Linked DNA regions of Caenorhabditis elegans. The protein of the gene in region 3 binds, or shares a complex with, the protein of the main gene of each other region. Each region holds a gene or a part of one and is shown on either strand. Other genes may lie near its edges. The genes, in order: tofu-6, pid-1, pid-3 and ife-3. A codon is read from its position in the direction of its gene.

Region 1 (7,906 bases), on a different chromosome or scaffold from region 3:
ATAATACGGTACTGGGTATTTTGTAAAATTCCAGCGGGTGTGCGCCTTTAAAGAGTACTGTAATTTCAAACTTTTGCTGCTGCGGATTTTTACTCGACTTTTCATTGTTTTTTTCCCTAAAAAAATTGTTTTCAATAAACTAAAACAATGAAAACACAAACATTTTCAAAAAATTGCGAGAAAACTATGAAAAGTCGATGAAAATTCCAAGCCACTATACTTCGAACCTACTGTACTCTTTAAAGGCGCACATCCGGTTGTATTTAACAAAAATTGTCGTATCGAGACCGGGTACCGCATCTTTCCACAAAAAATTCCCGTCTTCGTAATATAATTATTAATGAATTTAGATTCCAAGGTCAATGTCAAAAGAATTGAGTGAAACAGCATTGCGTACACAGTTTTTATTGGACAAATGGAGCAATAATCGAAGAAAAATTGTCAGACAAATGGAAGGAATTGCTGAGAAGGTATGTACTTTAATGCGAGATTTTAATCAAAATGAATTTTAAAATTTTTAATTTCAGCTGGATAATTGGGAGAAAGGATGTGCAATTTCAACAGCTGTCGGAAGTACCGTTGGTATTGCATCTGGAATTGCAGTTATTGGAGGACTTATCTTGATGCCACCAGTTGCAATTGCTGGTCTCATCGTTGGAACAGCTTCAGGAGTTTCCAATTTGGCGACAGGCATCACGAAATTTTTTCATACAAAAGGGCAGCACAAAGAAGTAGCTGCAATGATTGCAGAAGACGGTGTACTTTTTGAAGAACTTCTGAAATCAAGAGAAGAACTTATGGAAGCTGTTCGGAAAATTGTTGAAGATGAGGAATTCTTTAAACATTTCAAAAACGACGGGGACATTGAAAATAAGCTGAAAACTGTGTTCGGTGGATCAGTTACTGGAATAACTGGAATTGGAACTAGATTTGCAATTACTTCGATGGTAAGCTCTTTTTATTATTTTTTTCATCAATATTATTTATTTTCCAGGGTCGCCTCTCCTCTTCTCTTGTCAAAGGAGTTCTTCACAGTGTAGCTGTAATTGGAATCGTTCTAGACAGTGTCACATTGGCGTTGAGCGCCAAGGTACAACAATTAATTTGAAATTTTCAAAATAAAATATACAAATTTCAGACTCTTGGAGAAGGATCCGTGTCGGAACTTGGATCTTCTATTTTAGAAGCATCTTCCAAAATGGAAATGATGCGCCAAAAAGTGGTAAAACACTTTTTGAATGAAGACGTCTGGAAAGACGATGATGACGTCCTCTCCGATGTTGGTTCTATTGAAATGGTGCAGCCAGAATCTCCAAATCAGTCACTGATAATGGATCCACATCAACAAGAATCATCTGTACAACATTAATATCGGGATTTTGAATTTTTCTGGGTTTCACTACTGTTTTGTTGTTATTTTGCGAAAGTTTCATGCGAATAAATAAAATAAATTCGGCACTTCAAGTGTGGGCATTGTGAAAATAACGGAAACCCGAAAATGGTAAATATCGATTAAAATCCAGAAAGAATGCGAGCTACAGTATACTCTACAGTACTAATTTAAAGGCTCAGATGTTCAATATTCCAGGTGGTCTTGAAAAGACACCTCATTGCTCAGAATAAAAATCAAAAACGAATCCGTGTTTTTAAGGAATTATTTTTTATTGTACTGTAACTTGTCTTCATTTAAATTCTTGTTTTCTTATTAAATTATTCACTATTTCAAATTCTAAATTAACTGATTCAGAGACTTATCTACAAACTGCAAAGCGATATGTCAATCTATGAATCTTTGAAAAGCACGTTGATGGTAAGATTTTTATTCAAATTCATTTTTTATAATTTATATTTCTTGTTCAGAATGGCGAAGAAATGCCAAAGGAACTCCAGGTTAAAGCCTGGGGAGCTCAATGGCACCTCGATCGTTGGAGCTCAAACCGACAAGAGATCATGAACCGAATGGAGGAGATTGCTAAAGATGTAGGTCGATAAAACATAGTTTTTCTATTTATTTTCTAAATTTCAGCTTGACGGATTGGAGAAGGCTTCAGCCATCGCAACAACTGTCGGAAGTTCCGTTGATATTGCATCTGGACTTGCAGTTTTCGGAGGACTATTCTTCATGCCACCAGTTGCAATTGCTGGTCTCATCGTTGGAGCAGCTTCCGGCGTCTCAAATGTCGCAACTGGAGTGAACAAGAAGCTTGCTACCGATCATAAAATCAGAGAAATCAATCGAATGCTCGCGGAGGATGCGAAGTTTTTTGAGGAACTTCTTCATTCGAGAAATGATTTGTTGAACGAAGTGAGGAGATTTGTGGAGGACAAGCAATCGTCAAAGATTTTCAAAAACTTCGACGATGTCCAGTCTCATTTGAAAACACTTTTTGGTGTTTCTCTCGCCGGAATCACAGGATTCGGAATTAAAATGGCCGCATCTTCCATGGTAGAATAGTTGTTTTTTTGAAATTTAAATTTTTACCTTCGTTTTTAGGGCCATCTCACGAATGCACTTATGAAAGGAATGCTGCAGAGCGTTGCAGCCATCGGAATCGTTCTGGACGGTGTTACCCTGGCCATGAGCGCTAATGTAACCGCGAACAATGTTATCAAAATATAATATTAATTTCATTTCAGACGCTTAAAAACGGATCTTCCTCTGAATTGGCAGGAAAAATTCGTGAAGCTTCCGGCAAGATGGAAAGGATGCGACACAATGTTGTAACCAACTTCTTGAATTACGACGCCTGGAACAGCGATTAGTTTTCACTTTTCAAAGTTTCTTGATTTTTTTCTTGTTGATTTTCTTTTCTTTTTGTTGTTTTCTCGTTGTTATTTTTCTTGTTGTTGTTCTTATAAAATCTGACACTGAATTAAAATGTTCATTTTTTTGACAACATCATAGATTCAATGTAATTTCGACAAAAAAAATGGGACAGATTTACAGCTCGAGCTCACGGAGCATGTTCTTCACTCCATCAATCTTCTTGAGTAGATCTTTGACGACATCAGCATCGTTCGAAATTTGAGCAGTCTGAAAATAAAGCCAAATTAAAACTGAAAATCCCTTTAAATCATCAAATCTCACCACTCCAGAATTATTGTGCTGAAGAAGAGTCTCGCGGGAGTATGCATAGTGTGGCTGCTGACTGCGTGGCAAGTATTCACAGACACCTTTACGTTGAAGACGGTCAGCAAGAATCGCTGTAAAAATTATTATGAGGGGAATTTTCAAAAGAAAAAACGCACATTTTCCACAGAACAGATTGATCATGTTAATAGAGCCTTGAAATCCACAAGCCATGGCGTGAAGCGTCGAATTTTCCATTTGTCCCCATTTTTTAACAACCTCGCGAATATTATCAAATGATGGAATGGCGACTGGTGACCAGGTAAGACCATCTAGTCCACACAAGGAAACCTGAAAATAAATAGAAAAAATATGTTAAACATTTGAATGGAACTCTTACCCTTGTCGGCATCGACTGGAAAACTTTTGGCAATTGGAAGCATTTTGCCTTCTCATAATTGATAATTTTTCCAAAATCAACGAGATAAAGCTTGGTGGCTGAGATGCGTCGAACGCGTCGAACGGAACGGGGAGCATCACGGAAGACTCCATCGTAGCCAATTTCGAGCTCCGAATCGAATGGAACAATTTGAGCATACGCGTTCATTTTCTCGTGCATTGAATCATATTTTTCTTTCATTGACGAATCATTTATGCGGAGAAGAGTCAACGCGAAAAGATCTGGAGCCACTGATGAGGATGGAAGATAGTCGACAACTTCGACCTAAATTGAAAATTTAATATAAGCTGAAGGAAAAGTAAGAAACCTCGATATCCTTGTTGAGTGGAAGCCAGGATGATGATAGAAGAACTGGTCCGCTTTTCGATGGTGGAGATGATACAAGCTTCTGAACGGAATTGGAAGCCATTGGGAGAAGAGATCCTCCGACGTTCTTATGATCGGTAACCTTAAAATTACAGTTTTAATTTGAATTTATATATTCGCAACGCTCACCTTCAACGTGAAATTTTCGCCGATCAGATTTCCGTCGTTCAAATTCTTGCGAACTTCATCAGCATCTGCTACCGACATCATGTTCACAAATCTGAAGATTTTAAATGAATCGTTTCTAGAGTCTCACTATCTTACCCCAATTGAACTTGACCATCGTTGGATTGTCCAACAACACGGCAATAACTGACTTTTCCAAAGTTTTGGAAGACATGGAACAAGTTCCAATCATTCCAAGCTTTCGGAATATTGCGAATATGGAATCCGGCGTCTTTCAGATAATATGCGGTCGAGCTGGAAGCCATCTCTAAAAAATGTAATTCTGAAACTGAAAATATTCTTGCTTTAATTTTAAAAAAATGCTTGAAATGCAAAAAAAGCGAGCAAAAATGAAATCTCCCATTTTTCGCGCGTATTCCAGCGGTGTGCAATAGAGCGCACTTGTTTAAAAAAAACTACAGTACCCTTGAAATCATTATTTACAGGCACAGAATTTCGAAAAGATTCATTATTTCCCACGGAGAACGATTAAAATGATTAAAAATTGCTTTAAAAAATTTTGAAAGACAAATGGACGGAGAAAATTAAAAATTATTGAATAAAATAGCGAATTAATTAATGCTGTGAATTTGAGAATCATTAAGATGATATTTCGTTGCGAGACCAAGTTGTGTGGATTGAAGAAAGCAGGTGATCACCAAAATTTGAGATAGAGTCCTCCGACGTTTGCAATTGAGTACAAGATATCTGATTTTCCCTGAACTCGTTCAAAAATGCGTATAGTCCTTTCGCCGGAATTGTTTGTGTGCACATTGTACAATTTTCCATCTTTAATGTATCTCTCCTTTCTTACACAAGAAGTTCCATCTTTATTCTTCCAAATTGTTATCATTTTATTTCTATAAATGAAGGTTGATACAACAATTCCACCGGTTATCTCATGAGTTCCAAGTTTCAAACAGCCACTGTTAAACGTTTTACAAAAAACTTGATTGTGAGATTTCAGATAAGTACCATCGAAGTTGTATACGGTGTAAGCAGCAAGAGTTTTCAGACGATTTGGGAACGATACTCCACGGGTTTTGAGTGTTTCATTATACTTATTGATCTCGGAGAGCCGCCAAGCACCGCAGATTCCAGTTGCAATCGGAGTGTAACGCTGGAAATTAAAACAAATTTTTGATGGAATATATATTGATAGGGAGGAGTTTTAGGAAAGCTACTCCCGAATTGTAATCCAAAATGAGACTGATTTTTCACAAAATCTTTTGTTTAAAGCCTATGATTTTTTTAAATTATTATGTAGATATTTCCAACTGAGAATGCCTATTACGCAACATATTTAACGCTCAAAATATCTCGAAGAGAAATCCACAGTAATATGTAAATGACTACTGTAACCCCAAATCTTTCAGTTTAGTTCGAATTGAAAAAGTTACTGTAGGTTTCGCTACGAGATATTTGCGCAGAAAATATGTTGCGAAAATTAAAATCCATTTAGTTTCAGGAGTTTTTTGGTTCAAAGTAGCTCTACATTATTCAAATTGCACTGGAGTTCACTTCCAAATGTAAAAAATTGAGAGTTGGCAGGCATGTACGCCTGCCTGCCACCGATGCCATGGATGCCTTAAGTTCCTTCCAAAAATTTACCTGTAATTCCTTCTGTCTCTCCCTTTCGTCAATCTCGTCGAACTTCAGTTTGAGAAGTCTTATCTAGAAAAAAACATTTTCAACTAATTTTATCCCTACAAAAAACTATACCGTTGAATTTTGTTTCACTTCCGTTTCTTTCATCTCTTCGATTTCAGATCGTAATTGGCGAATTTCAGACAAAAGTTCTGATTTTTCAATTTCGTTGGGTTCACCCACGAGAGGTTCCAATGCCCCAAGTGGATCACTGTAACGAATTTCAGTGGTCTCTGATATTTGTTGATCCTTAACGGCTTCAGCGATTTTTTCAATAAGATCATCAACTTTTGCAGTAAATCCCACATTGTTTCCAATCCCGAATTCATCGGTGTTGGACACTTCACGAGATATAGTTTCCGATTTTTCAGATTCTTCAGTATCATCATTCTGAATAACTTCTTGGGAAGTGTTAACTCCCGCTTCATCAGAAGATTCTTCTTTTACAGATACTGCTTCTTCGTCAGAAGAAACATCTCCATTGATGCTAAGGATATCTAAAGCATCTTGAACTTCCTTCGACCTCTGTTCCATTTTCAATGCCATCTTTGCCACTTGAGATTCGCCATCTTCCTTCACAAATTCAAAACTCGAATCACTGGATGATCGGCTATGCGAAGACATTGGTTAAGGAGACGAAGAAGAATGAAATTGGTACCAAGTCTGAAAATAAGAATAGGTATATTATGTGAGCAAAGGAAAATCGCCAAAAAAACAAGATATATGCAAAATCTTCGAAAGTCAGTATGCTTCCACTTCAGCACCTTAATTTGAATATCCTTATTGATCTACTTTTCTCTGGGTTAACTATGGAAAAAATTATCGACTGACGAACAGTGGAGGTGCAATACTGATACACTGGCTGCAACAGGGTATCTCTGCTAATATCAATTAGGGCTCATGAACTTTTTGAATTGAATAATTGAATAATATTTCTTGAAAATCGGGTATGTCGATTTCAGTCATCTTCGATATGATTTGTTTCAAGAACTTTAAGGAAGTTTGCAGCCTTACCCAGTCTAGCCTAAGCCTAAGCCTAAGATGCTCGAAACAGTACAATCTTCAACGATTTTTTCGGATATTTTTTAGATGTCGTATAAAAAGCTAGGCGTGGAACCTAGAGTCCTATGCCACTACAGTGCACAATAGCAAGACAAATAACAAAACGAAAACCGAAGCACGTAAAGAAAATGTAGATCTTTCTTGTTCTAGGAGAGGTCACACCACCACACGGGGTGGGTGTTCTCACACAATCGATGCGTAGATGGCGGGACCAAGAGAACAGAGAACAGAATAAGAGCATCTGTTCGTTTTCTTTGTTTCTCTTCGTATCACACACTATTTGCTAAAGGTGGTTATTAGTTCCACGGTACCAGCCAGCCAACCCTCGAAAATTTGCGTGTGAGAGAGAGTGAACGAGAAAGATAGAGAAATGGCCAAGAAAGAAAATTGACGGATTAATTAGATTTATTAATATATATTGGAACATGAGAAGCGGTACAGTAATCTATAGAGAGGAGGCAATTAAAAAAAAAAAGTTAATAATAAATATTCTGGCTCTCCGATCCGTAGATGCTTCTTGGGTAAGCACGTGAGTCTCTCTGGTCAGGAATCTGAAAAAAATAAATAATTATTTTGGAACGAGAAACAGATTTAAAAAAAAAAGTAATATTCCAGCTTTCAGTTTGTACCTAACAATAACACAACTCTTGTTAATCTTCCAATTTGAAAAACCTCTAAAATGAAAGCTTTTTATCAATCACTTGTCAATCAGTTGTCACCCCCTCTGATTGGTCTAATGTTTTTAGAGGGAATTCAAATTGAGAGTTGGAAAACGAAGATATTCACAAACCTTCTTGAAGATTCTCTCGCAAATGACTCCATTTCTCTCCCAGATTTCTTTCATTTGTCCATCGACAACCGATCTCTCAACTCGAGAAATCACTTTTTTCTTATCATTTTCTTCTTGTGTTACAGTTAGAATCAACTTATTCTTCTCCACAGAATACAATTCTCCCAGGGAATTCGGAAAATTAAAATAATGGATTTCTTCTCTTGCACGTGGCTTCCAACTTCTTTCATGGTACGATTGAGTTTTCACTTGATGTTTGTTCACTTTAAAGTACAAACATTGATTCTTAATTATCAAAGCATGGAATTGAGATATATCTTGAGCTGCAAAGAATTCATCGAAATTG
Region 2 (7,262 bases), on a different chromosome or scaffold from region 3:
GAGATGATATCAAATTTCATAAAGGTGATATTGTACGTTACGCAAGAATTCGATACTTTGCACTGGATGAACACTTGGAAAGATTAGAGAAATGGTTTCTTCAATTGGGATATTCTGATGTCAGAGAAATTGGTAATATTGATGGATCGGCTGAATATCCAGAAGTTGCTGTAATCGGATGTATATCAACTTTTATGCCATTCCCATATCTACAAAAGACCAGAAGAAATTATACATCTTTGGCAAACACGAAGTATACTGTAAGTTTAATTATTGAAAAACCAAGTCTTACATAAAAAGTGAACAAAAATAGTGCTGTAATTAGTTGGCATGATCTGTAAAATTGTATGTTTTTCATATAACAACTCTATATTCAGATTCCAATATTCTATTTTCGAAACAATAGTGGTCTTGACTGTGAGGAAAGGAGAGTTTCAAATGTTCTTCGACGTGTTTTGGGTAGATTCACAGTGGCAACATCTCGAAACTGTGAGTGTGGACCAGGGACAACGTCTACGACAATTTGGAAGAACTGTCAGTTACACCGAGGAACAGTTGAAATTACTGGATCACCAGAACAAAAGAGCCTTTGCAAATATAATTCGATTCGTAAAATTCAAGATGGTCAACTTTGGATCCATGATACTTCTACTGTTTCCAATTTGGATAGTTTTCCGCGTCTAGAAGAAGTTGAATGTGGCCCCGTGTGGAATGAAACTGATAGGAGAAGGTTGTCAGCTGTAAGAATAGATGGATACAATCAGAAATTTGAACATGTGGAGCTACTAAAGATGAAGAAAAAAGACGATCAATGTTTGAAATTTGTAGCCGTTGTTGGTGATAAGAAAAGACTTCCAAGATATTCAGAATCTGAGTGGATGGTTAGTTAAATCTTTTTGAAAGTCTCTCATAAATTGCTGATAATAAATAATTTCAGCAGGAGCACGATGACCTAAATGACATAGCTATCAATAGAATTGGAAAAAGTAAGAATTGAGTTTTAGAATATTGTATAAATTTATACATATGTATTTGGCTTTCAGAATGCGTTGGGTATTCTGGAAAATTTGGTGGTTTGGCCCGAATTATCCCATCAACTCGACGATTGTGAAGTTGTGGAAGGAGATCTTGTAATTGATGGAAGTGCTGGTGGTGTATTGAGAATGGCATCGGGACTTCGAAAAGTGAAACGAGTTCTTGGGAATGTGATCATCAAAAATTTAAGATCAGACTTCTGTGAATTAATCAAAAATCTGAAATACATTGATGGTGATCTCATATTTGAAAACAATCCATATCTGAGAAGAACTTCATTATCGCTGCGAGCTGTTAATGGAAAGATTCGGATGATTAGAACGCCTCAACTATGCTGGGAAGTTCAAAAACTTCGTAAAGTGGTACAAGCTTTCAAGATGAAGCATATATATTCTGACTGCGCCAACAGTAAGTTTAAATTCAAAAATCAAATGAATAGGTTATTCGTTTCAGTTGAAATGGACACTTTATTTGAAGAATACGAAGAAAAATGCACATTCGTGGAAATAATTGTGAGCCTCTGTGTATTGGCGTCAATTTTGATATTTGTTTGCTATGTGATGATAGATGTTGTGATCATCTTCCTGAAATCCCTGAATTTCACTCGATGGAGAAAAATAAAAGAATTGGACATTCATCTCAAAACTGACCCAACAGCTTATTTGGACGAAAAATCTTCAGATGAAGAACCTGATGTGATGACGTGGAAGAGGAGAATTCTGGTTAAAAATCGTCTGGATGGACGGGATGTGATGGGAGAAAAAAGGAAAAAGGAAATGAAAGAATACCGAGCAAATCGAAAAACAATTAATTGGAGACGGAAGCTTGGAGCATTGACGAGATCCATTCAAAAGAACGAATCGGATAGTGAGTTCTCAGGACAAAGTTGGTTGAGAAGAAAAGAGTCAAGAAAGAATGCAAAAGAGATGAATGAAGATCAAGGAAAATATGAAAAAGAAGGTCTTCCGATTGCAGTACTGACTGGTTTAGGAGAAACAAAATGGAAAGGAAGAACGAAGAACATGGCACTTGAGGCAAGAAAAGCTGATGAACGAGAATTGGAGTATTTTGAAGCAGTTCATAAAGCGATCAAAGAAATAATTGACGATGCAGAAGGTGACGAAGAAGATCGAATTCTGATGATTTTGGAAATAATGGAGAAAAGGAAAATTATTGAGCCGAACGAAATTATCACGGACACGAACAAATTCGAAGAGCTTCTGGTTCAACTGGAAAATCATTTGAGTGAACGTGAAAAGGAGAAGTGGATTGCCTGGGCTAAAAGGAAACAACAATTACGAGAGACGGCGATCACGACATATGGAAAAGGAAAAAGCTTTAACATCTACGATAAGCCAGTTAATCTAGAAGAAGATTATAGACTGAATGCTGGTGTTGATAACTCGGAAATGTTTGTGAAAGTGAAAATAGAAACGATGAACTGGAGGTCTTCGGATGAGAGTGGAACTGAAGATCGAGAACTTTAACTTTATGTCGTTATTTTTAAAATGTAATTTATAAAATTTTTGAATTCAACGAAACATCATTTTTATAAACTCAAAACAAGATGAAACAGTAAAAACAGTAAATTAACAGTGAAAACTTATGCAATATTCGAAGGAATGTCGTCGAAAATGGATCTGGCTGGCTTGTGATTGGCCGATACTGGGGTGTGCTTCTGGGGGGTAATTCTTGGACTTCCAGAAAAGGTGAACTGGTTGCTGGTATTCTGAATCGCTGGAGAGAGGAATCCACGTCCAGCTGGCAACTGAAAATGATATAATTTTATGCGTGAATTTAATATTTATTTCTTACCGGATTAGATAGGCTCAATCCGGCTGAAAGTGGTGAGCCAGTTCCATAATCATTCTTCTTTTCTTTTCTGAAAATTAAAACATTTGTTATAATATGTGGGTACTTCACAAACCTATAGATAAAATGAAACTCGTCGCAGTCATTATGTTTTTCGATGATTGTTCTCGGCTTTGCTTTCATTTCGTATCCAAGGGCTGCCAACTCGAAACGATCGCTCAACGTCACCTAAAATTAAAAAAAGCTTTCGTCATCAACATTAATAGATTATTACTTTTCTGTGAAGATTTGTATTGTAGTTGAACCGTTCAGCGCATTTGTGTGCGATATTTGTGTCTTTTTCAATATCCGAGTCGGTTTTTAACGAATTCTGATCGATTCTTTTCTGAAAAAAAGTTTTATTGTTATTAATTCTGAAAAAATGATAAAACTCACTTTAAATGGTGTGGATGCCAAAGTAATATGCGAAAACTCCCTTTTAGCCGACATAATTGGAAAATTCGAATGTCAGCCGAAGAAATTGTGTGCAATAATTTTAACACCGTTACTGTAAGTTTTAAAGACACATGTCCATTTTGAAGGCATGGGTCTCGAAGCGAAAAAACTTGTTACGGTAGCGCGCAATTAAAAAACTTGTAAAAATCTTTTTTTTTAGCTTGTTAATTAACGTTAACAAAATATATGAGAATATAGATGCAGAAAAAAAAGAAATTTCATTCGATGAATGTACATTATTGAGAAAACACAGTCTACCTATTTGAGACTAGTTTAAAACAGAAAGAAATTGTAAATTAAGGTAAAAAACCTATACTCTTTCGTGGAAGCTTCCTGATTCGTCCGATTCATACCCATCGTTTTCAAATCCATCATTGTCGTTGATTTCGCTCCGAACCGAATATTCAACTTCAGTTGTTTCTTGGAATAAATGAGTTGGTGTCATAGGTACAGTACTATGATCATCATAGACTGTTACTCCAAAATTCTCTTTCATGTGTTTGGTGAAATCTATTTTACTAGTCGAACTTACTCCATCGCTGAAAGTATTTGGAATAATTGATTTCAGAAGTTTGAAGAAACTTACATCATTGTATTTGTTCGACTTCTTGTATGTTCAATAAGAGCTTTTGTAAATACCATATTACTATTTAAATCTCCACGTGCAATCTTCTTTGCATCTTCATCAACCAAATGCTGTAAATTAATTATGAATAACAATATCATTAAGCGTATTACCATACCTTGTACTTTCTGACCAATTTAGTCTTATCCATCTCCTTCATATTGTTCTTATTAACTAAAATTGGTCTCAAATAATTATTGTTGAGTGCATTCCACGAATCACGAATCCAATGATGCCCCTTGAAACCGGCAATGTCTTCCATTCCAGCCATAGTCGTGTCGATAAGCTATAATTTTCATTTCACTGGAATTTTGGTTCTGAAAACTCACTTCGCTGTAAATATGCTCAATCATGTTCTTTGAGTGAACATTCTTTTTCTCAACTTGTAGGAATTCGGCAATTGGTTTCAGTGTAATTCCCTGAAAATGTTAAAAATCTATTTTAGAAGTATTGGAAATAATCCAGATTTTTTTTCAAAATTTAACTAGGCACATTAGAAGGCTATGTAAATGAAATGCTGAAAAGTAATAGTAAGGTATGTTTTTTAAAAACATCACGGGTATAAAATATAGCTAGATTGTTTAAAAAGATACCTGGAGGAATACAGTGAAGTAGATGACAATGATACAACTGGTGACAAACATATTCTTTCCGGGTATAAAATCTGGAATTGCAACGACAAGACCGTATGCAATGGCACCACGAAGACCTCCATAAGCCATGATAAATTGGTCTACCTGTATGAAACATATACTTTTTTTTATCAAATAACACAAATTAATTCTCACCTTTGTGTACTTATTCAGACGATACTTATTCAAGAAATAGCACATAACAACAACTCCAAGGGTACGGTAGATCAAGCAGAAAACTACAGTAAGAACGATGAAAGATGTGTCCCAGTGATGGTTTGAGGATACTGTTGAGAGTCCCAAAAAGACAAAGATAACTGTTTCCGATGCAAGAGAAAGCACTTTGATGAATGATTCTGTGGCTTTTACCGTGTCTGGGTCCACATTTTCACGGCAGTACTGACGCATGGCAGCACCACAAAATACAATTCTGCAAAAATTTTATTGAAAATTAGTTCTAGTTATATTTTGTTTCAGTTTTACAGCTCTGGAAGAGAATTACGGTTTTTGCCAAAACTTTTCATATTAGTATCTTCAATCTCTAGACCTTAAGTTTACATTTTAAAATTCCGATTTTTAATACAAAATTTAATATGAAAATATGAGTAGGGCTAAAGTTTCAATATAAAAAAGAAATTCTGAAATAAATTAACTTACGCCATAATACTTGAAAGACCGAAAAGTTCTCCACAAAGATAACAAGTGTACGGAAGAATGAGAATAAATACAGAATTGAGCACTTTGACCTCTTCATCTCTAGCAAATCTTGTAACAAGACTTGTCAAAAATGCAAAAAGAAGACCAATTCCAATTCCACCAAATGCAACAACCAGGAAAGAAACACCTCCATTGATATAATCAGATGTTATCAGATTCTCAGTTCCAATTTCAGAGAAGGTCAAGAACATTCGATAAAGTACAACAGCAACTCCGTCGTTCAATAGAGATTCTCCGAACACGGCAATAAAAAGAACTTCGTTGACCTGTAAACTTTGACTTTGTTATCAGAGAAATTTGGGAGACTGTCTCACTTTCAATTCCTCGAAAATGACAATTACAGCAACTGGATCTACATCAGCAGCAACTGAACCGAAGAGAAGCATATGCATAAGTGGAGTTTCAACTGAGAATAATCCAGTCAAACTGATGGCCCATAAGGAGAGAGCTGTAAATTATTAGATTTATTTCCAAATTTATCTTTAACTAGGCATAACGGTTTCAAAGATATTCAAAACTTTTCTAGACTATTTCAAATTGTTATCTTATCACTAAAATTGCTAATGTCCTTTGAGGTTACTATTTTTGAAGTTACAAGCTACAAAATTATCATTATTTTTAATTGGAGTTTGAAAATTCATAGTCATGTTGTTTTACTTTGTACATAAATATATTAGTTGTGAAAATATTAAAACTAACCAATTGCGACAATATTGAATGAAGTTCCAATCATTGCAAAACAAAGAATTGATCCAAAATTATCGAAAAACTGTCTTGCAGGCATAAAGTATCCGGCATCAAAAACAAGTGGCGGAAGTAGATAAAGCATGAATACTTCACTTTCCAGGAAAAATGCATTTTTATTGACTCCGATCAATTTGAAAATGATTCCAATAATTAAACCAATCATGATGAGTAACGCGGAATCCGGGAAAAGTTCATTGAGATGTGGAATCAAGTTGAAAACTGAAAAATTGACAATTTTTAGACTGTCTTTTTAATATTGTAATAACTATTGTTTATTCTTTTTCTTCCAGGACATTCAAGTTTTCTTCGAAAGACTTGGAAAGTTGATTATCAAACAAACAGATTTACAATTTTTCAGAATAATTTTGATCTCAAAACATATATTCTTTGTAAGATTATATTTAATTTATGATAGACCGAAAATGCCAATTATCGAAACAAGTCTTTTTAAGTGTCAACTCTTCAATTCCCTGATTCAATTAGCAGTTTAATTTCCTGAGCATCCCAAAGTGGCAGCTACGTACTAATTTTCGCAATCGATGCTCCAATCAACCATAAACAAATAGTCATTGGAATCTTGACATTCTCCCATTCAAAATAAGCAATTGGATATCTAGATGGATATTCTTTTTCTTCTTCTTCACATTCTGCTCCAACATAGCTCATAATCAATAAAAGTCCAACGACGAGCACCCAAGGCCTCCGGAGAAGAGACATGATTTAATCACTGAAAATTATTTCAAATTCCAAGAATCAAAACAACCGGAAATAGTTTTTTGTAAAAGTTCAAAAAGAGCATGAGAGAGAGACGAGAGAGCGCTATGTGCTCTTGATGTTAAAGCAAACGAAGAACTGATAAAAAGTAATTGATAATAAAGAAGAGAAATAGAGATACGAAAGAGAATGAAATTGGGAAACATGGTAATAGGATTGGAATCTTAGGTATGGCACTTGTGTCGACAGTATTTAGAAGCCGATTACTGTCATTTCCAGGTGAAATTTGTGATTAAATTTCAGGTCTTAACATCAATTATCACAGTTAATATTGCTTAGAACAATTTTTCGTTGTGTTAAAGGTACTGGTAGATGTTTTCAAAATGTTCAGTAAACGTTTTGGCAGATTGCCAAATTAAAAAAAAAAACTTTTTGAAAAAGTCTTGCGTGTCAGATTTCCTGAAAAATTCTACGAACTACAAGAG
Region 3 (7,522 bases):
AAATTTGTTTAGGTTGTAAGGTAAGCAAGTAAGCAGATAGGCTTAAGGCAGGTACATAGGTAGTCTAGAAAGGCATAGGCACGTAGGCACGGCACTAGGTAATCAAGTAGGCAGATAGGCTTGAGGAAGGCTAGTAGGCAGGCAGGTAAGCAGGACAGTAGGAGAAAGACAAATGGGTAGATAGGCGTAAAGCAGGTATGTAGGCAGCTCAAAAAGACATGGACACGTAAATACGAGGCAGACAAGAAGCAGGTAGGCAGGCATTGGATAGGCAAGTAGGTAGGTATAGAAACAAGCATGTGCAAGCCAGACGGAAACTTAATGAAACTACATGGAGTAGGTAGGTAGGCATTGGATAGACAAGTAGGCAGACGTGTAAGCAAGCTTGCGTGAAGTAGGCAGGTTTTTAGCAAGGTACTACTTACCTCACGCAAACTTGCTTACATGCCTGCCTACTTGTCTATCCAATGCCTACCTATTCTATTCTAGGTCTGCCTCATGCTTATACGTCTTGCCTACCTGCTAAAGTGCCTGCCTACCTACCTACTTCTTGTCTGCTTCCTGTTTACGTGCCCATGTCTTTCAGGCTACCTACGTACCTACTAGCAAGGCATAGGCACATACGCACAAGGAATGAGGTTCAGCGATCTGCGCTTCGTGGCCTCGAATAGGGGAAACTTCGGCCACCGATTTACAGGCCACTTTTCAATTTAATTTTTTGCAGTAGTACAATTGCGAGCTGACGTCATCACCGTTCCGCGGCCGCCCACAGGATCTCTCCCATTTTGTTTTTCAGAGCCCTATATTTTCTTTCATTTCTTCAGTTTTTTTGCCACGTTTCTTCCTCTCTCTCTCTCTCATCTTTCCATGTCATACCATTTGCCCAAACCTCGCGAATATTCAAAATGACTTACTTTTTAAAAATGCTGGTTTTTTATTGATTTTATTGATTTTTTTCTGTTGACTATTGTTTACAAGAAAATAGTTCGTTCTTTCTTTGTGTACTCCACGTGAACAAGAAAACTTTGCGCGTCAAATATGATGTTTCGGCTGTGGAAATGCAATAATAGGAACGTGAACCTTTGAGAAGTATAAAAATAATAATAGTTACGTAATTTTATTTGGAGGGGGGGGGGGGGGCATTTTCAATCATTTTGAATTTTTCACAAGCTAGCAAAGTAGCAAATTCGAAGATGGCGCTTGAAAGCATTGGACAGCGAAGCAAGCAATTTTATTACGGTAAGTGACGTCACTCCCCGTAAACTAGGCCACCTATGACGTCATTCAGACCATGCCGCTGGTGACACCGCAACTCAGAAGCACATTAGCCACGAGAAGAGCCAGATCAATTTGGAAATGACTGGCGAGCCAGGAGGAGGGGAGCGCCGATATTTTGAAGGGCTTGTTGGAACTAAAGAGCTTGTCATATTATCTGCACTGACCATGTGCTTGTACTTGATCAATGGAGAGTATGCACAGGTTATTGATTTTTTGCAGCCGCCATCTAGTTTTCTGTTTTCAGACAATTTGCACCGCGCTGACGTCAGTGCCGCCGGCTCTTTTTTCGTATCGAGTTTTGACAAATCAGATGACTGATAAGCAGGGATATGTGAGTTTCGAATTCCACTACGTGGTCGCGAAAAAAAAAACTCGGCCACCAACGTAATACACCGGATTTTTTCCTCCTTCGTTTGCGCGTAAAACATGGTGCATCGATGTCGGTGTACCGCACGGCCGTATCCACTTCTGGCTTTCTTCACATTTTGAAATGGAAGAGTTTGCCGAATTAGGCCATTTTGTCTCGGCCACGGTCGGGGTAGGTTTACGGCGCGTTGCGTGTCGCGTCGCGGCTCGGTTTTCATTGTGAAACTAAATGTCTTGTCCGCGTGGAGTACACGACTTCTCCACCCGTTGTCCGGTTGGCGATTGTCAGTGGAGCGCGAAAAATGCAATGAGGGAGACTGGAAGCCCGTGTACCCATATTTTTCACAGGGTTCTGGCCTGCCTCATTGAATTTTTCGCGCTCCATTGAAACTCCACACCGACAAATACATTTAGTTTTACAACTGAAACCGAGCCGCGACAAGACACGCAACGCGCCGTAAATCTACCCCAAATATGGCCGAGCTAAAATGGCCTAGTTCGGCAAAAACTCTTCCATTTCAATTTATGAGGGAAGCCAGAAATCCGTGAATAGTCCCCATATAATTTTGGTGGAAATGTTCTAAAAATCGAAAAATCCACTAAACTAAAGCTAATTTTTCCAGCACTCAATTCTGTTCTACTGGACCCTTTACGGGCTCACTGCTCTAATCGATCAATTCGCTGGAACAGCTCAAGGATACAATCTCTGCAAGTGTGGCCTCCTTGGCGTATTTTTCTTCCACGCGGTCCGCTCCAACTTGTCCGCAGTGCCCGCCACCTGGAAATTCGCGGAGAAGCTTGAAGTTCTGACGTCACTGGTTTCACAGCTGGAGACTGATGGTTTTCTGCGGAACTACGATGCGATGACACCAACGATAACCCAGTTTTCTGAGGATGACTCGCTGCAATACATATTCCCAGTGGAAGAGAATTTGGAAATGAGCACAGCGTGCAGTTTCGTGCCGTCACTTGATATGCAGAGCACCCAGAATCCGTCTCCATCTACTTTGAAAACTATGAAAATCGAGGAAAGCCGGAATTTCCAGACCATGTCGGCGATGACGTTGGCCTGCGGTGGAGCTGCAGCAGATATTGTCACCGTGCCGGCCGACCGGATCACGTTTGCCGCTGGCAAGCTGGAAGAAGTTATTCGAGTCACTAACGTCTCGCAATCGCATATTATGTTCGCTTTGAAGGTGAGGTCTCGGTTTGGCGCGTAAAATTGTATGTATTGTGGTTTTTGTGCAATTCACCGACTTCAATGCATCGGACTTTACGCACAAGTTGGTACTTTGTGATTTTCCAAACATTTTTGCTGAAAAAAAAAATTGAAAATTCGAATTTGCGTGTAAAATTAACTCGCAAATTATTACGATATTATCAAAATATATAAACTGACATGTGAAACGTGGCTTATTTTTTATTTTGTTTTTTATTTAAGCGCCTCCCATTTTTTTAAATGAGCTAATAAATAAAAATTTTAACGAAAGGCCAGGAATGGGAGGAGCTTAAATAAAAAACAAAATAAAAAATAAGCCACGTTTCACATGTCAGTTTATATATTTTGATAATACTTAACACAAAATTCTGAGAATGCTTATGGCGCAACATATTTGACGCGCAATATATCTCGTAGCGAAAACTACAGTAATTCTTTAAACGACTACTGTAGCTCTTGTGTCGATTTAACGGCTCGATTCTAGATAGAAATTTTTAGATAGCTAATTAGATATGGATTTTCGAAATATCGATAGAATATTAAAATTAAGCAAAAAAGTAAATAATTCGAAGAAACGAATTGTTTTCATTTCGAAAACGAAACCCGTATATCGACACAAGTGCTAAAGTAGTCCTTTAAAGAATTACTGTAGTTTTCGCTACAAGATATTTTGCGCGTCAACATTCTAGAAATCTAGAAATTTCTAGATTTCTAGAAAATCTAGAAATTTCTAGAAATTTCTAGACGCATTCTAGAAATTTTGTGCTCCCGTAATATACACAAATTGAATTGTATAATGTAAATTGTTTGAAAACCGATAATTTCAGACAAATGCCGACGCCTACCTCATCGCTGCTCCAACTTCTGGAGTTCTTCTGAGCGGACAAAGCATGACAATCCGTGTTGGAGTCACTGGCAACTACTTCGATGATTTTTCGGATCCTGGAGTTTCCATTGATAAGGTTATTTTATAATTCTATTGAATAAAACTTCAATTTCCGATTTCCAGCTCGCCATCGACTATGCTCTGATCCCCAGCCGTTCCTACTCCAAATTTTCCTCCGAGTTCTTCTATTCCCAGAACCGACGTCGCCTCGCAATTCGTGTGTTCTATCAATGATTTGTCTCTTTTCTCGACTTTATTTTATTTATTTTTGTATTTGTAAAAAGCTTTTATGAGTAAAATTGTGTTTAAATCATGTTTTCCTGGCATTTCTACTTCCATGGGAGATTTCGATCCCTAAAACTGAGGTTTCAAACAAGCTGCAAGTACGCTCTACCGTACGAAGCCATTTTCAAACGCGGGAAATTGTTTCAAAAATTAATTTCGGAGATTTCTTTTTCATTTTTTCTGATTTTCTCGGCCTGTTTCTTCAGTTTTCTTGTAAAATTTACTGTTTAATTAATAAAAATGTACATTTTTCAGAAAATGGTTGCCCATCAGAAGGCGGATTTCAAGTCGAAATGGGCGATGGTCGTGACTGTCAATAACCTGAATGACAAGAAGCGAGCCGATTTGAGAGAATTTTCCGAGTGGTTTATCGAGACTTTGAGATTGGAAGGAGCTTTTATTGGTCACTATTTCAATTATGAGGTTATTAAGAGTTAATAATTAATTAATTATAAATGCAATAATTCCAGGCTGCACCGGTGACCATCGTCGAGACTTTGCCAGGCAATTTTGACTCATGCACTAATGCATATCAGAAGATTCACAAGGTTTTGATGGATAAATTAAATAAAATTCAATTAAATAATTCTTCAGGAGCATCCGCAGGTCGTCCTCGTCGTGCACATTCTTCCACAGTCGCAGTCGAACGAGTACGAGTGGATGAAGGTGTTGGCGTCGAGATACGGATTCGTCCGTCAGGGATTGCTCTACGATAACTGTGCCAATCGTTTCCAAAATGTGGAAACCGATCAGAATAGCGTGTTCCGGAACATGTGCCAATGGATTTATCGTAGCGGCACCGCGATTGTGAGAAATGAGGGAAAGTAAGTCGAATTACATTTTTTTATTTAGCCATTTTTTATTTAATTCCTGTGTGTTTCAGCGCGTGTGGAATTCTCCATGGAAAAGATCCGAAACCGACGTTCGACAAGGTTCTCTTCAACAGCGAAGACATCAAGGATTCCGTTTTCAAAGTTCTTCACGCCGAAGAAGAGCCGAGAGGTGCGGATCAGGAGAACATGCTGAAGATCAGTGGATATCCGGGGATGCTCAACACGTTCGGCATCGCACAACTTCTCACCCCATATCGTGTCAATGGGATCACCATCACCGGCGCCCAGTCGGCCGTCGTTGCCCTGGAGAACAAGTTTCAAGTCTATCAGGCCGTGCAGGATTTCAACGGGAAGAAGCTCGATCGCAATCACAAACTTCAAGTTAGCAGCCTCGTCGTCTCGTCGCCAGCCGTTCCACTCGAGTGGCCATCGCTCAAAAAGTCGAAGAAGCTCGTGGAGCAAGTGGGAAAGCCGATCAGACTTTCGAAAGTCTCCTCTTAAATGTGCCCCAATTTGCTTATAAGTTATTTTTTTCTGATTTCTGATGATCTTTCTTCGATATCTCGACCTTTACCGGTTTTTTTAATCAATTTGCTCATATTCCTTGATAAATAATCTCTCCATTAGCATGTGCGATTTTTTTTTCATTTTAATCTGTTAAAATCGGGGCTCGATTCTTGTTTTCGTTGGAGAGAATTGTTCTTAAAATAAGTAATTTTTTAGATGGAAGAAGGCAGCTCCTCACAGCCATCCGACGACTATGAGCCGAGATATAAAATTTGTAAGATTTTCCAGGTCTCGACACGACAATTTGTGTTCATTACAAATAGGTGTGCGCCTTTAAAAAAGTACTGTAATTCAGAGAAGATTTTCTGCGGAATTTTGATAGATTTTTCAGAGTTTTTCTCTCGATTTGTTGAAATTCAAGTGTTTTATTGTTATACTAGAACATTAAGCATATTTTTACTAAAAAAAAACAAAAAAAATCGAATAAAATTATGTGTCGAGACCGGTGTTCGGCCCAAAACTTCCACAAAAAATAAAATCTCGAAAAAACTCGTGGCGAGACCCAATTTTCTTCCAGCACGACCAAATCAACAAATGCGACTTCCTATAATTCGGCCTAAAATCCCGCCGAAATCCTCAGGCCCACCGGTTCGCCTGATCACCTCCGCCACTCCACAACCGATAGCGCCGAGCACATCGAACCCGCGGCCGCTGATCTCACTGCTCGATCGGACAGAGTTTCGCGATCGGAATCGACCGGCGCTGGTGCCGACGAGAATGATGGCAAAACCGAAGAAGTGCTATTACACAGAGATGGCCGATATTCGAAAGGAATTCGGAATACCCGAAGCGCTGGACACTGTGAAGCCGAACACGATGAGCGGCGTTGGTCAGTGCTCGGATGAAATTTATTTAAAATTCGAAAATTCCAGTTTTTCGTATAATTTTCCACTACCGCTGCTACCGATACGGGACCAGGTCTCGGCACGATAACTCAAACGGATGTGCGCCTTTAAGTTAACTTTAAATCGGTTTTTCAGTCTTTTTTTAACGAAAAACTGGAAAAAGTACCTTTAAAGGCGCACACCGGTTTTTGTTTACAAAAAATTGTCGTGTCGAGACCTTTTCGCTCAAAATTTCGAATTTTTTCAGCACTGGCGTCAAAGCTCAACCTCCTACAACGTCTACGCGGCGAGAACAAATTCCTGCGCGAATCGATCGAAACGAGACAATCCACGTGCGACGAGCGGCTCGATCAAATCGAAGGGTCTCGCAACGCGACCGCCGAAGCCGCACAATTCTGCCAGGCGCTCCGAGACGATCTGAACACCGTGGAGATGGATATCGCCGGACTACGGGCTCAGGAAGACACATGATTTATTTGGATTCTGCGGATTACAATAAAGTACATTTAATAAAGAACAATAAACCACCGTTTTTTTTTTGGATTTATGTATGTGTCAAAAGTCGTCAGAGAGGGATACCCAGTAGATATGTTGAACAAGGGGGGGGGGGGAATAAAAAAAAGAATCTAATAAAACAGAAACGCAATATAAAGCACAATTATTAGAAAGAACACTGAAAAAAAACAATAAATTAATTTATATTAGCACTAATATTTATTGCTGATACTTTTTCTTTTGAGCTTCGTACACCTTCTCCAGCTTTTTGATCTGACTCTTCGTGATCTGAAATAATATTTAAATTAAATAATATCTGTAAATAAAATAATTTCAGAGGCACCACGAATTCAAGATTGGTGGAATTGCGGATCTACGTTCTCCGGATCTCGAAGAAAAACGCCGTTTATTTGGAAATTTTCTTCTGGAAAATACGCGTAGATCCGTAATACCACCAGATCTTGAATCCGTGGTGACTCTATTTCGTAGTTTCGTCGTTTTACCTCCGTTCCATCAGCCAAATGAGTCGGTACACCTCGTTCATCAAACTTCGAGTATTTCCCGACGTGCTCTCCCTGCTTGAACAGCTCTTCCGGCTTGATCTTCTTCGCTGCCGCCTCCTTATCAGCCTTCTCCCGAGCCTTTTGCTCCTTGTCCGCCTTTTCCTTATCCTTCCGCTTCTTCTCGGTGTCCTTCTGCTCTTGCTCTCGGAGCAATGTGGCACGATCCACAAGCTTCACAACGGTCT
Region 4 (7,563 bases), on a different chromosome or scaffold from region 3:
ATCAGTTTCATTAGGAAAAACACTCTTTATTTATTCAAGGAACTGTTAAAGCAAAACTTCAATTTTGTCAATCTCTTGGTCTAAATACGTTCTATCGTTAGATAAATCTAACTATCTAACTGAAACGAGTACAACTATATTGTAACGCAAAAAAGCTAAGCGCCATAAAACACAAGTAAAACAGGCTCCAGTAAGCCTAAACTGTTTTTACTATAAAAAACCATTGTCATTCACCTACCTACCAAATGCCAATATAATTGGTTGAAAAAAATTAGTTTAATCTCCTCGCAAGATTTTTTTCTCCGAAATTTAAGATTGGGCGCTTAGTGATATCATAACTCTGCAGCCATCAGAAAAACTGAAATGTATTTAAACTGTAAGTTTTAATCGTTTTATGAGGATTATTTCTTTAGTTGACAGTTTTTTGATAGCTTCTTTAGTTATTGAGCTACGGGCTTCCAAACAAAACCAATCAAAAACCACTATAAACCACAATGTCCTAAAAGTGAAATTACTCAGTCAATTTTTAACCAAATCACGGCATTAATGTCTTGATATCTTCATTGAACAATTTGTAAAAATCGTAAGGCGGTAGTTTTTTGATAAATGTCATCGTTTTTTAGTAAAATTGCGTTAACCATTCAAAAATGGCCCATTTTTGGTGTTTTCAGGCCTAATTCTTGTTTTTGAAATTCCGGAGCCAGTTTTTATCGAAAATTTTTGTGCAATGTCAAAAAATGACCGGAAAAAAATTCTCTACAATCGTAAGGCGGTACTTTTTAAAATTTCGTTTCCATTCTTCCCCAGGGATCCCGTAAAAAACCAATTTTTCGACTAGGTCTCACATTTTGCCCTACAAGAGCATAGTTAATGTTATAAATTTGGATTTTTTGGTCGAATTTGATGAGGTAATATTCAGTTGTTTGTTTATTGTTGGAAAATCTGAAGATTTATCAGCGAATCGCCCGATTTCGCCAATTATGACCAAAAAACCCCTAGTTTAGGATTTTCACGAATGGATGAGTTCATTGATACGCTTCCACGCTGTTTTTGGTTTCATTCAGACGCTACTTGCCTGATCTATCAGTCTAACAATTTTTGTTTAATTTTCTTCACTATCCGCCGTTTATAGTTCGTTCTTCCGTAATCAGTGCAAAATCGGTTCAAAAAACTCACTCTCTCGCCCATGAGAGACGCAGAGACAGTTCATCACGTTATTTTATTTAATTATTGAAATGAAGAGAGGCCGTGATTTCTGCTTTTAAAAAAGTTGATTTTTGGAAAACTTGTCAAACAGCACGTGTATTTTTCTAATAGCTCTTTTCGAGGCATGGGTCGAGCTGAATACACGTGAAACCGAAAAAAGAACAAGAAAAATCGAAACTACAGTACTCCCTAAAGGCGCACACTCTTTTCCATAAATTATTTTGTTTGATCGTCTCGAGACCTGGTATCGTAATCTTGCGAAACAAATCGCGAACTGTCGCATCTCATTTGAAAACTGGGCAAAATCCTTATTTTATGTAAATTGGAGCTCATTTGGCGCTGTAAAATGCAAAAACATAATAAAAAAGTGCATTTCCAGGTTCCCCAGACGAAGAATCCGACGTTGATTCCGGTGATTCAATTTATCGAAAGAAAGTCACCACATTCCGACGACGAAACATAAATGCCCCATTCGGAGTTCGTGTTCCTTTCAGTAGAATGGCCTATAAAGCCGGTTATGGATCAAACAGAATGGGCTATCGGAACACGGGATCCCCGCCACCCCCACAAATAGGTGGCCTCTACGGTGACCGTAATCCGAATCCATATGGCACAGTGAATCTTGGTGGAGGTTCCCCATATCCTGGGGGTCTAGAAGAGTACAATATCCGGCCGGCCGCTCCATTTTCCGGACTGGTCGGAGGAAGTCGATCTGGGTACTACGGGAGCACTGTTGGTATGAGACGGGGTGCCGTTGTGCCGCCTATGAGCTCCAGGAAGACGAAAATTCCACAGACTGAGTATCCACGTAAGTATACGATTTTTCTATGCGCTATAAAATTCTTTAAAATCCGCTATTTTCCAGCTGATTACGCATCTAACGACCTGATGAACAGTTTCAATGGAGCTACAAATTCCGCGATCCCATCACTTCGCGAGCTTGCCACCTATGCGTCACGCTATGGTCCCGCATATCTTCGCGAACGATTCGGAAGCCATGATTCCCAACTTGAGCGTATGCTTTATGGCGGCAGTGGACCACAGATCCCATCACGTGGAGGAGGAATTCCCATAGATTACAACATGAACATTGCTTCGAATCACTGGAACCGAGGAATTGGCTCTCCGATGGGAATTATGTCGCGGGATGTTGATTCCTATCAACACGACGATGCGGCCAAAGCAAACAAAAAGACCACTACCGGCTCGCCGAGCACGACGAGCACACGGAAACCTCGGAAAGCTAGGAAGCCAACCAAGAAGACTGTTGCCGCAGCTCCTTCGTCTAGCTCGAACACATCGACTACGGCAAAGCCTGCAAAAACTGTAAAGACATCGGAGAAGTCTGCCTGAAAACAAGAATAGAATCAATTTTTAAAAATGTACAAAATCAAACGCCCTACAAATCATGTGTGTGAAGAAGAATAATAACTAACATATCTATTTATATTTACCGAATAAATATATATTCATCAATTAACCTGAAGAACAAACGAATTCGGCTACAGGCGTCGATCAGTCTCGAATCTAGTAACAACAAGAGAGCAATACGAAAACCGGTAAATCAATAGGGGGAAGCGAAACAGTAGGTACAAATTGGAGGGGAAGCACCAATACATTAGGTGGGGGGTACGACTTGAAAAATGAGCTGATTTTCGAATAGTTAAAGCGATGATCGTGTCCGAAAAACAGTTCATTTTTCAAGACAACATTGAGACTGGGAGTACGGGGAAGCTCATTTACGGTGAGAGGAATTGGTGAGATCTTTAGAATATGCTTAAGGAGTTGGGGTGGCTGGAGAAGTTCCTGTAGCCTCCGTGCCGGGATTCGATGGAGAAGTCGTTGCGGCTGGTCCCTTTTCCTTCACTGGTGCTGGATCCTTGGCTGGAAGACATATGCGTGGCTTGACAGTCGATGAGGTGCGAGCCGACGAGTCCTTGTGAACTTCGTATCTGGAAATATTTTACTTAGATAGCAAATACTAAAATTGTAAAATTACCTCAAAATCTCAGTATCCGGAATGCTCAATTTCTGCTTCAAAACCTGTCCGATGCGAAGATTGACATCATCGCGAGTAGCATCACGAGTCCACAAGGAAACCTTGTCACCCTTTTGACGAACATTCACGACAGCTCCGCAGATGTAGTCTCCGTACTCGTCGAATTGCTCTCCAACAATAGCCATCAACAGCTCCAACCAGTAGTGATCGAGCAATTGCGTTCTTCTCTGAAGCTTCTATGATTCATTGAATAAAATATATTTCTCAAAACGTACTTGCTTATCGACAACAACCAACCAACGTCCACCTTGAACGTTGTTGACGTCCTCCCACATTGGCTTGATTCCTTCCTTGAACAAGTAATAATCGGATCCCCAGTTCAATCCTCCGGCAGACTGAATGTGATTGTACAGCGACCAGAAGTCCTCGACAGTGTCGAAAAGTGAAACCATCTGGAAAAAATCGATAAAAGACGTATTTAAAAATCTTCTACCTTCAGACAATCCTCCCATTCCTTGTTACGGTCAGCTTTCAAGTACCAGAGAGCCCAGCGATTCTGGAGGGGGTGTCTGGTGAGAAGCTCTGGAGGAACTGAAGCATCGGACGCATTCACATCGCCGGAAGCTGACAATGCTTTGTTTTCCGCTACGGATGTGCTCATTTAGCTGAAAATAGGTAATATTATATACGATTAGAGCTCGGAAAACGATAAAATAGAGAAGAGTATGAATTTGGTTCAAATAACTCGGATTTTATAGGAAATTTTGTTTTACTGCACATTTTCGGCTAGTTTCCAAGCTTTTTAGATTTTTCAAGTGTAATTGGTAACATCGGGCACAATAAATTGATATTAAAGCTTGGAAAACAATAAAACAAAGTAGAAAATGAATTCAGCTCAACTTCGACGAAAAATCATCAAATGATTCGTTTCCCATGAAATTCCTAGTAGTTTTTAAACATTCTAGCTGTTTTTTAATCGTAAAAGTGAAAAAAAAAAGAGCGATTTCCCCGAAAAACCTTGGAAAATGAAGAAATGGAAAGAAAGGCGCGAATCCTGAAATTCAAACACCAGACACACGCAAAACGAGTGTAACCGTAGTTTTTGTCGTTGCGAAGTATCTTGTCTGCGGAATTGCGCCCCCCTTTAAACAAAACAGCGGAAAATATGAAAATTATTTTTGTATTAAAATAAAAATCGAGTTGTTTAGGTAAAATTTTTCAAATTTTATTGAAAATTCGGTAAAATAATGAAATTAATCGCTGAAAACTCGTTATTCGCACAGAAATTGAGCTCTTTCAGGGAATTCAGGCTAAAAAATTATATTTTCAGGTTTAAAATTCAAAAATTTATTTTCCAGATTGCAGTCGATAATCTGAGTTTTCCCAAAAAATGTGCATTGTTTACAGCCTGTGGTTCTCAATTTCTCCAATTTATCCACGAGTGCGTCTCCGTTTTCTTTTCTCCTTCTGCCGCATTCAGCGTCGCCGTCGTCGTCAGGAATTCATGAGCCGTCCCGGTGTCTCGAGCTCTTGTGAGCATACACACAGACACATACAGCAGCAGCCTCCACAACATGCACATATAAATATATCGGTCTGGGTGTTGCTGCTGCTGCCGCTGGGCGCCTTTTCCCTCTCTGTGTGCCTCAACTCGTCGCACATATCTCTCTCTCTCTCTCTCACTTTGCCTTGTTTTCCCTGCCCATCGTCCCGTAAAAAGGTGGCCAGACAGTTCTCCGAATCGCAGAGACGCAGCAAGCGTTGCCCCGAGGCGCCATTCGTCTAACCTACTGCGTCTGACACCCCGCCGTCAGACGACGTCGGGGGCCCTCCGACGACGACTTCTTTCGCTGTATTTCTCTCTCTCCTCCGTCTCCTCCTCCTCTCCACCACATCGATTTTCCCGTTTTAGAGTGTTGGCGGTGAGCCATAGTCACGAATACTTTGTCTATTTTTTCGGCGACGGCTGTTGGGCTTCTCTTCTCTGCGTCTCTCGCACTCTTGTCCGCCTTCTGACCGTCATAATTACCACGTCGTCCACGTAAAGTCTTCGGAGAGCGCCACGCCCCCACACACACATACACACAACATTTTCGTAGCCGCATTATTCTCCTAACAATCATCGTTTTTTGCTAGTTTTCAGTAGTTCCACAGACTTAAAGGAGGATCACCGAAATTCGAGACTTGGCTTTTTGGGACCCAAAATGTTCCAAAACTAATTTCGTAATGAGATGTTCTGAAAATTTCTCAAAAAAAAAAGTTATGACCGCTCGGAAAATGGTATATTTTCAGCTAAAATCTTAAATTTTGACAACTTCTCAGTGTCGCAGCGGTAGGAACTAAATTTTGATGTGATTATCACTTTTTAGTATGTATTTATTTATTTTCATTTCCACTCACACACGCGAAGCCCACAGCATTTGAAATTCTATAGTTTGTTTGCAGAATAGAGGTGTGCGGCACAAAAAGTTTACTGGAAAAAAGTAAACTTTTTTTGCGGCAAAAAAGAGTCGGAAGCTCAATTTTTTCAGACTCTTCTTATATATTTCGACAAAATAATTATGTTATCATTTCCTATTTAAGCGTCTTAAATTGTTCGCATAACAATGAGGAATTCCACGTTATATGGAAACGCTGTAAAAAGATCTCTGGTGAAATCGCGCTCCACGAGCTATTGAAAACGCTCCAAAAAACGAAAACTAGTTTTTTTTTTAATTTTTAAGTTCTTAATACTTTTTTCGACGTAAAATTCAATAAAAACAACGAAAATACCGTATTCCCTCTATTAGTCTTGCATGCAAGACTAATTTTCAATTGACCCGTAGGGGTGCAAGACTAATAGAGACTGCAAGACTATTAGAGGCTGCAAGACTAATTTTCGAAGATCCAATAGCTTTGTAAAATTGATAATTTATCGTCAAAAATTTGACTTGAAACTGTCTAAATCGTGCAAAATACATACTTTTCTATTGTTTTATCAATTATTTGAACACTTTAAAACTTAATTTGGCTAAAAAATGGCGAAATTTTTGAAGTTTTCACAAAATACTGCTGGTCTGGCAAGAATAGGGGTGCAAGACTATTACCGTATGCTCTCTAATAGTCTTGCATGCAATACTAATAGAGGCTGCAAGACTAATTTTCGATTGGTCCGTAGGGGTGCAAGACTAATAGAGGAAATACGGTATTTGAAAATTGGCGAAACATTTGAATTCACAGTTTTGCCGCCACATGCCTAACGAGACCTATGGTTTGGGGGCGGAGCTTTGCCAATTTTCCGTGGAGCGCGTTTCCACATCGATTTCGAATTATGTTTTTTTAAATCTAAACCAATGAAAAATTCAAATTCCTGTGCCTCCGGCTTTTCTCAAATTCAGCCGCGACCAGTGTCTATAACGGAGACTGGAAAATTCATATTTCTCAGATTTTCTACTGAATTTTTAAGTTTTCTATGGATTTTTAAACTTATTTTTTGGTAAAAAAAATAAGTCGAGTGAAATTAAAAATTTATCGAGTTCAAAAACTCGAAAATCGTTCATAAAATTCAAGGTGCTCCACGGCCAAAAAACCGGGTACAACAAAAAATTGGCGGTAAAACATTAAATTCGAACGTTTTCAATTATTTTCAGTAGTTTTTCGATTATTTTTACGCGAAAAAAGGTTATTATCATATACAGCGCATTTTTTCCATCTCTACGACTTTGAAGGGGCGCATTTACGCGCGATCGTCTTGACACGCGCCATTCATAGATTTTTGAGGCGCGTGACGAGACCATGCACGCACTTTTGAACACCTGGTGTCACAGTGCCCCATTTCGGTTTGATCTACTTAGATCTGCGAAAATGCGGGAGTTGAGACGCAGAGTTCTCAACTGATTTCGCATGATTAAGAACATGCTGACGTCACATTTTTTTACGCGAAAAATTCCCGCATTTTCTGTAGATCAACCCGTAATGGGACAACCTGACACCGCGTGTTTGAAGGGGCCACAAACTCGTCGTTTGGCCGTGGAGCGCGTTTGCACCTCGATTGCACTTTTTCGCGCAAGAGCCCATAAGAGGAACTAAGTTATATCAGATTTTCACTGGAACACACAACAACTTCCAACAGATTAGCTTCCTACTCGGTACTCTTTTTTGCCCCCCCTTGCCTCATTGTCTACGGGAGGGGGATCCTCTTGTGTAATACGTTATTAAATTATGCCTGTCAGAGCAGCAACACACACAGACAAGTGAGTCGTCGACTCAAAAAAAGAAGAGAAAATAGAAGAAGAAGTGGATCTTCTTCTTCTTTTTCGGCTTCTCACTTTTCTTGATGCACCATACTTTTTTTCTAGTTTCACTTGCCTCTTTCTCTC

Evidence for each region.
Region 1: the proteins of pid-3 (region 3) and tofu-6 are in contact, whole or in part, in a crystal structure (PDB 7D1L), measured with the Caenorhabditis elegans proteins. Residues at the interface, in NP_491011.1 of Caenorhabditis elegans: Pro225 (codon at 5,117), Tyr226 (codon at 5,120), Asn245 (codon at 5,177), Lys246 (codon at 5,180), Phe247 (codon at 5,183), Gln248 (codon at 5,186), Tyr250 (codon at 5,192), Gln251 (codon at 5,195), Gln254 (codon at 5,204), Asp255 (codon at 5,207), Val273 (codon at 5,261), Val274 (codon at 5,264), Ser275 (codon at 5,267), Ser276 (codon at 5,270), Pro277 (codon at 5,273), Ala278 (codon at 5,276), Val279 (codon at 5,279), Leu281 (codon at 5,285), Glu282 (codon at 5,288); in NP_001293507.1 of Caenorhabditis elegans: Ala23 (codon at 4,261), Trp24 (codon at 4,258), Asn25 (codon at 4,255), Asp26 (codon at 4,252), Trp27 (codon at 4,249), Asn28 (codon at 4,246), Phe30 (codon at 4,240), His31 (codon at 4,237), Gln34 (codon at 4,228), Gly37 (codon at 4,219), Lys38 (codon at 4,216), Val39 (codon at 4,213), Ser40 (codon at 4,210), Tyr41 (codon at 4,207), Cys42 (codon at 4,204), Met61 (codon at 4,103), Gly80 (codon at 4,046), Glu81 (codon at 4,043), Asn82 (codon at 4,040), Phe83 (codon at 4,037).
Region 2: pid-3 (region 3) and pid-1 share a complex: the UniProt entries of both Caenorhabditis elegans proteins name them as parts of the pid-1 variant of the PETISCO complex.
Region 4: pid-3 (region 3) and ife-3 share a complex: the UniProt entries of both Caenorhabditis elegans proteins name them as parts of the tost-1 variant of the PETISCO complex.

What each region holds. Positions count from the first base shown.
Region 1 is NC_003280.10:5,417,700-5,425,605, reverse strand, and holds tofu-6 (Embryonic developmental protein tofu-6), read right to left. Parts: upstream 4,359-7,906; 5' UTR 4,328-4,358; coding exon 4,161-4,327; intron 4,117-4,160; coding exon 4,026-4,116; intron 3,979-4,025; coding exon 3,838-3,978; intron 3,795-3,837; coding exon 3,471-3,794; intron 3,422-3,470; coding exon 3,250-3,421; intron 3,205-3,249; coding exon 3,089-3,204; intron 3,035-3,088; coding exon 2,942-3,034; 3' UTR 2,869-2,941; downstream 1-2,868. Other genes in the region: F07F6.8 (Apolipoprotein L3-like), read left to right, coding at 351-470, 528-947, 995-1,090, 1,139-1,369; F07F6.7 (Apolipoprotein L, 1), read left to right, coding at 1,775-1,810, 1,861-1,980, 2,027-2,446, 2,495-2,590, 2,638-2,763; EEED8.15 (PHR domain-containing protein), read right to left, coding at 4,717-5,181, 5,673-5,735, 5,784-6,332; EEED8.2 (lipocalin/fatty-acid binding family protein), read right to left, coding at 7,247-7,321, 7,561-7,906. UniProt on the Caenorhabditis elegans protein: Component of the pid-1 and tost-1 variants of the PETISCO complexes, which have roles in the biogenesis of a class of 21 nucleotide PIWI-interacting RNAs (piRNAs) that possess a uracil residue at the 5'-end (also called 21U-RNAs) and embryogenesis, respectively.
Region 2 is NC_003280.10:7,687,168-7,694,429, forward strand, and holds pid-1 (Protein pid-1), read right to left. Parts: upstream 3,390-7,262; 5' UTR 3,337-3,389; coding exon 3,283-3,336; intron 3,233-3,282; coding exon 3,122-3,232; intron 3,076-3,121; coding exon 2,963-3,075; intron 2,918-2,962; coding exon 2,851-2,917; intron 2,804-2,850; coding exon 2,639-2,803; 3' UTR 2,523-2,638; downstream 1-2,522. Other genes in the region: F18A1.1 (Receptor L-domain domain-containing protein), read left to right, coding at 1-260, 378-881, 1,044-1,443, 1,489-2,522; nhx-2 (Na(+)/H(+) exchanger protein 2), read right to left, coding at 3,653-3,881, 3,929-4,038, 4,086-4,253, 4,297-4,386, 4,561-4,704, 4,756-5,029, 5,257-5,582, 5,631-5,764 and 2 more. UniProt on the Caenorhabditis elegans protein: Component of the pid-1 variant of the PETISCO complex which is required for the biogenesis of a class of 21 nucleotide PIWI-interacting RNAs (piRNAs) that possess a uracil residue at the 5'-end (also called 21U-RNAs).
Region 3 is NC_003279.8:2,616,367-2,623,888, forward strand, and holds pid-3 (Protein pid-3), read left to right. Parts: upstream 1-4,283; 5' UTR 4,284-4,292; coding exon 4,293-4,457; intron 4,458-4,504; coding exon 4,505-4,582; intron 4,583-4,628; coding exon 4,629-4,858; intron 4,859-4,917; coding exon 4,918-5,368; 3' UTR 5,369-5,493; downstream 5,494-7,522. Other genes in the region: ctn-1 (Alpha-catulin), read left to right, coding at 725-743; spe-47 (Major sperm protein), read left to right, coding at 1,194-1,239, 1,289-1,479, 1,523-1,609, 2,268-2,840, 3,691-3,825, 3,873-3,983; Y23H5A.2 (t-SNARE coiled-coil homology domain-containing protein), read left to right, coding at 5,591-5,648, 5,952-6,263, 6,527-6,750; cars-1 (Cysteine--tRNA ligase, cytoplasmic), read right to left, coding at 6,994-7,062, 7,278-7,522. UniProt on the Caenorhabditis elegans protein: Component of the pid-1 and tost-1 variants of the PETISCO complexes, which have roles in the biogenesis of a class of 21 nucleotide PIWI-interacting RNAs (piRNAs) that possess a uracil residue at the 5'-end (also called 21U-RNAs) and embryogenesis, respectively.
Region 4 is NC_003283.11:3,953-11,515, forward strand, and holds ife-3 (Eukaryotic translation initiation factor 4E-3), read right to left. Parts: upstream 3,878-7,563; 5' UTR 3,867-3,877; coding exon 3,699-3,866; intron 3,658-3,698; coding exon 3,481-3,657; intron 3,442-3,480; coding exon 3,206-3,441; intron 3,159-3,205; coding exon 2,984-3,158; 3' UTR 2,636-2,983; downstream 1-2,635. Other genes in the region: idpp-2 (Intrinsically Disordered Protein, expressed in Pharynx), read left to right, coding at 1,586-2,014, 2,072-2,559; B0348.10 (uncharacterized protein), read right to left, coding at 4,623-4,787. UniProt on the Caenorhabditis elegans protein: Recognizes and binds the 7-methylguanosine-containing mRNA cap during an early step in the initiation of protein synthesis and facilitates ribosome binding by inducing the unwinding of the mRNAs secondary structures.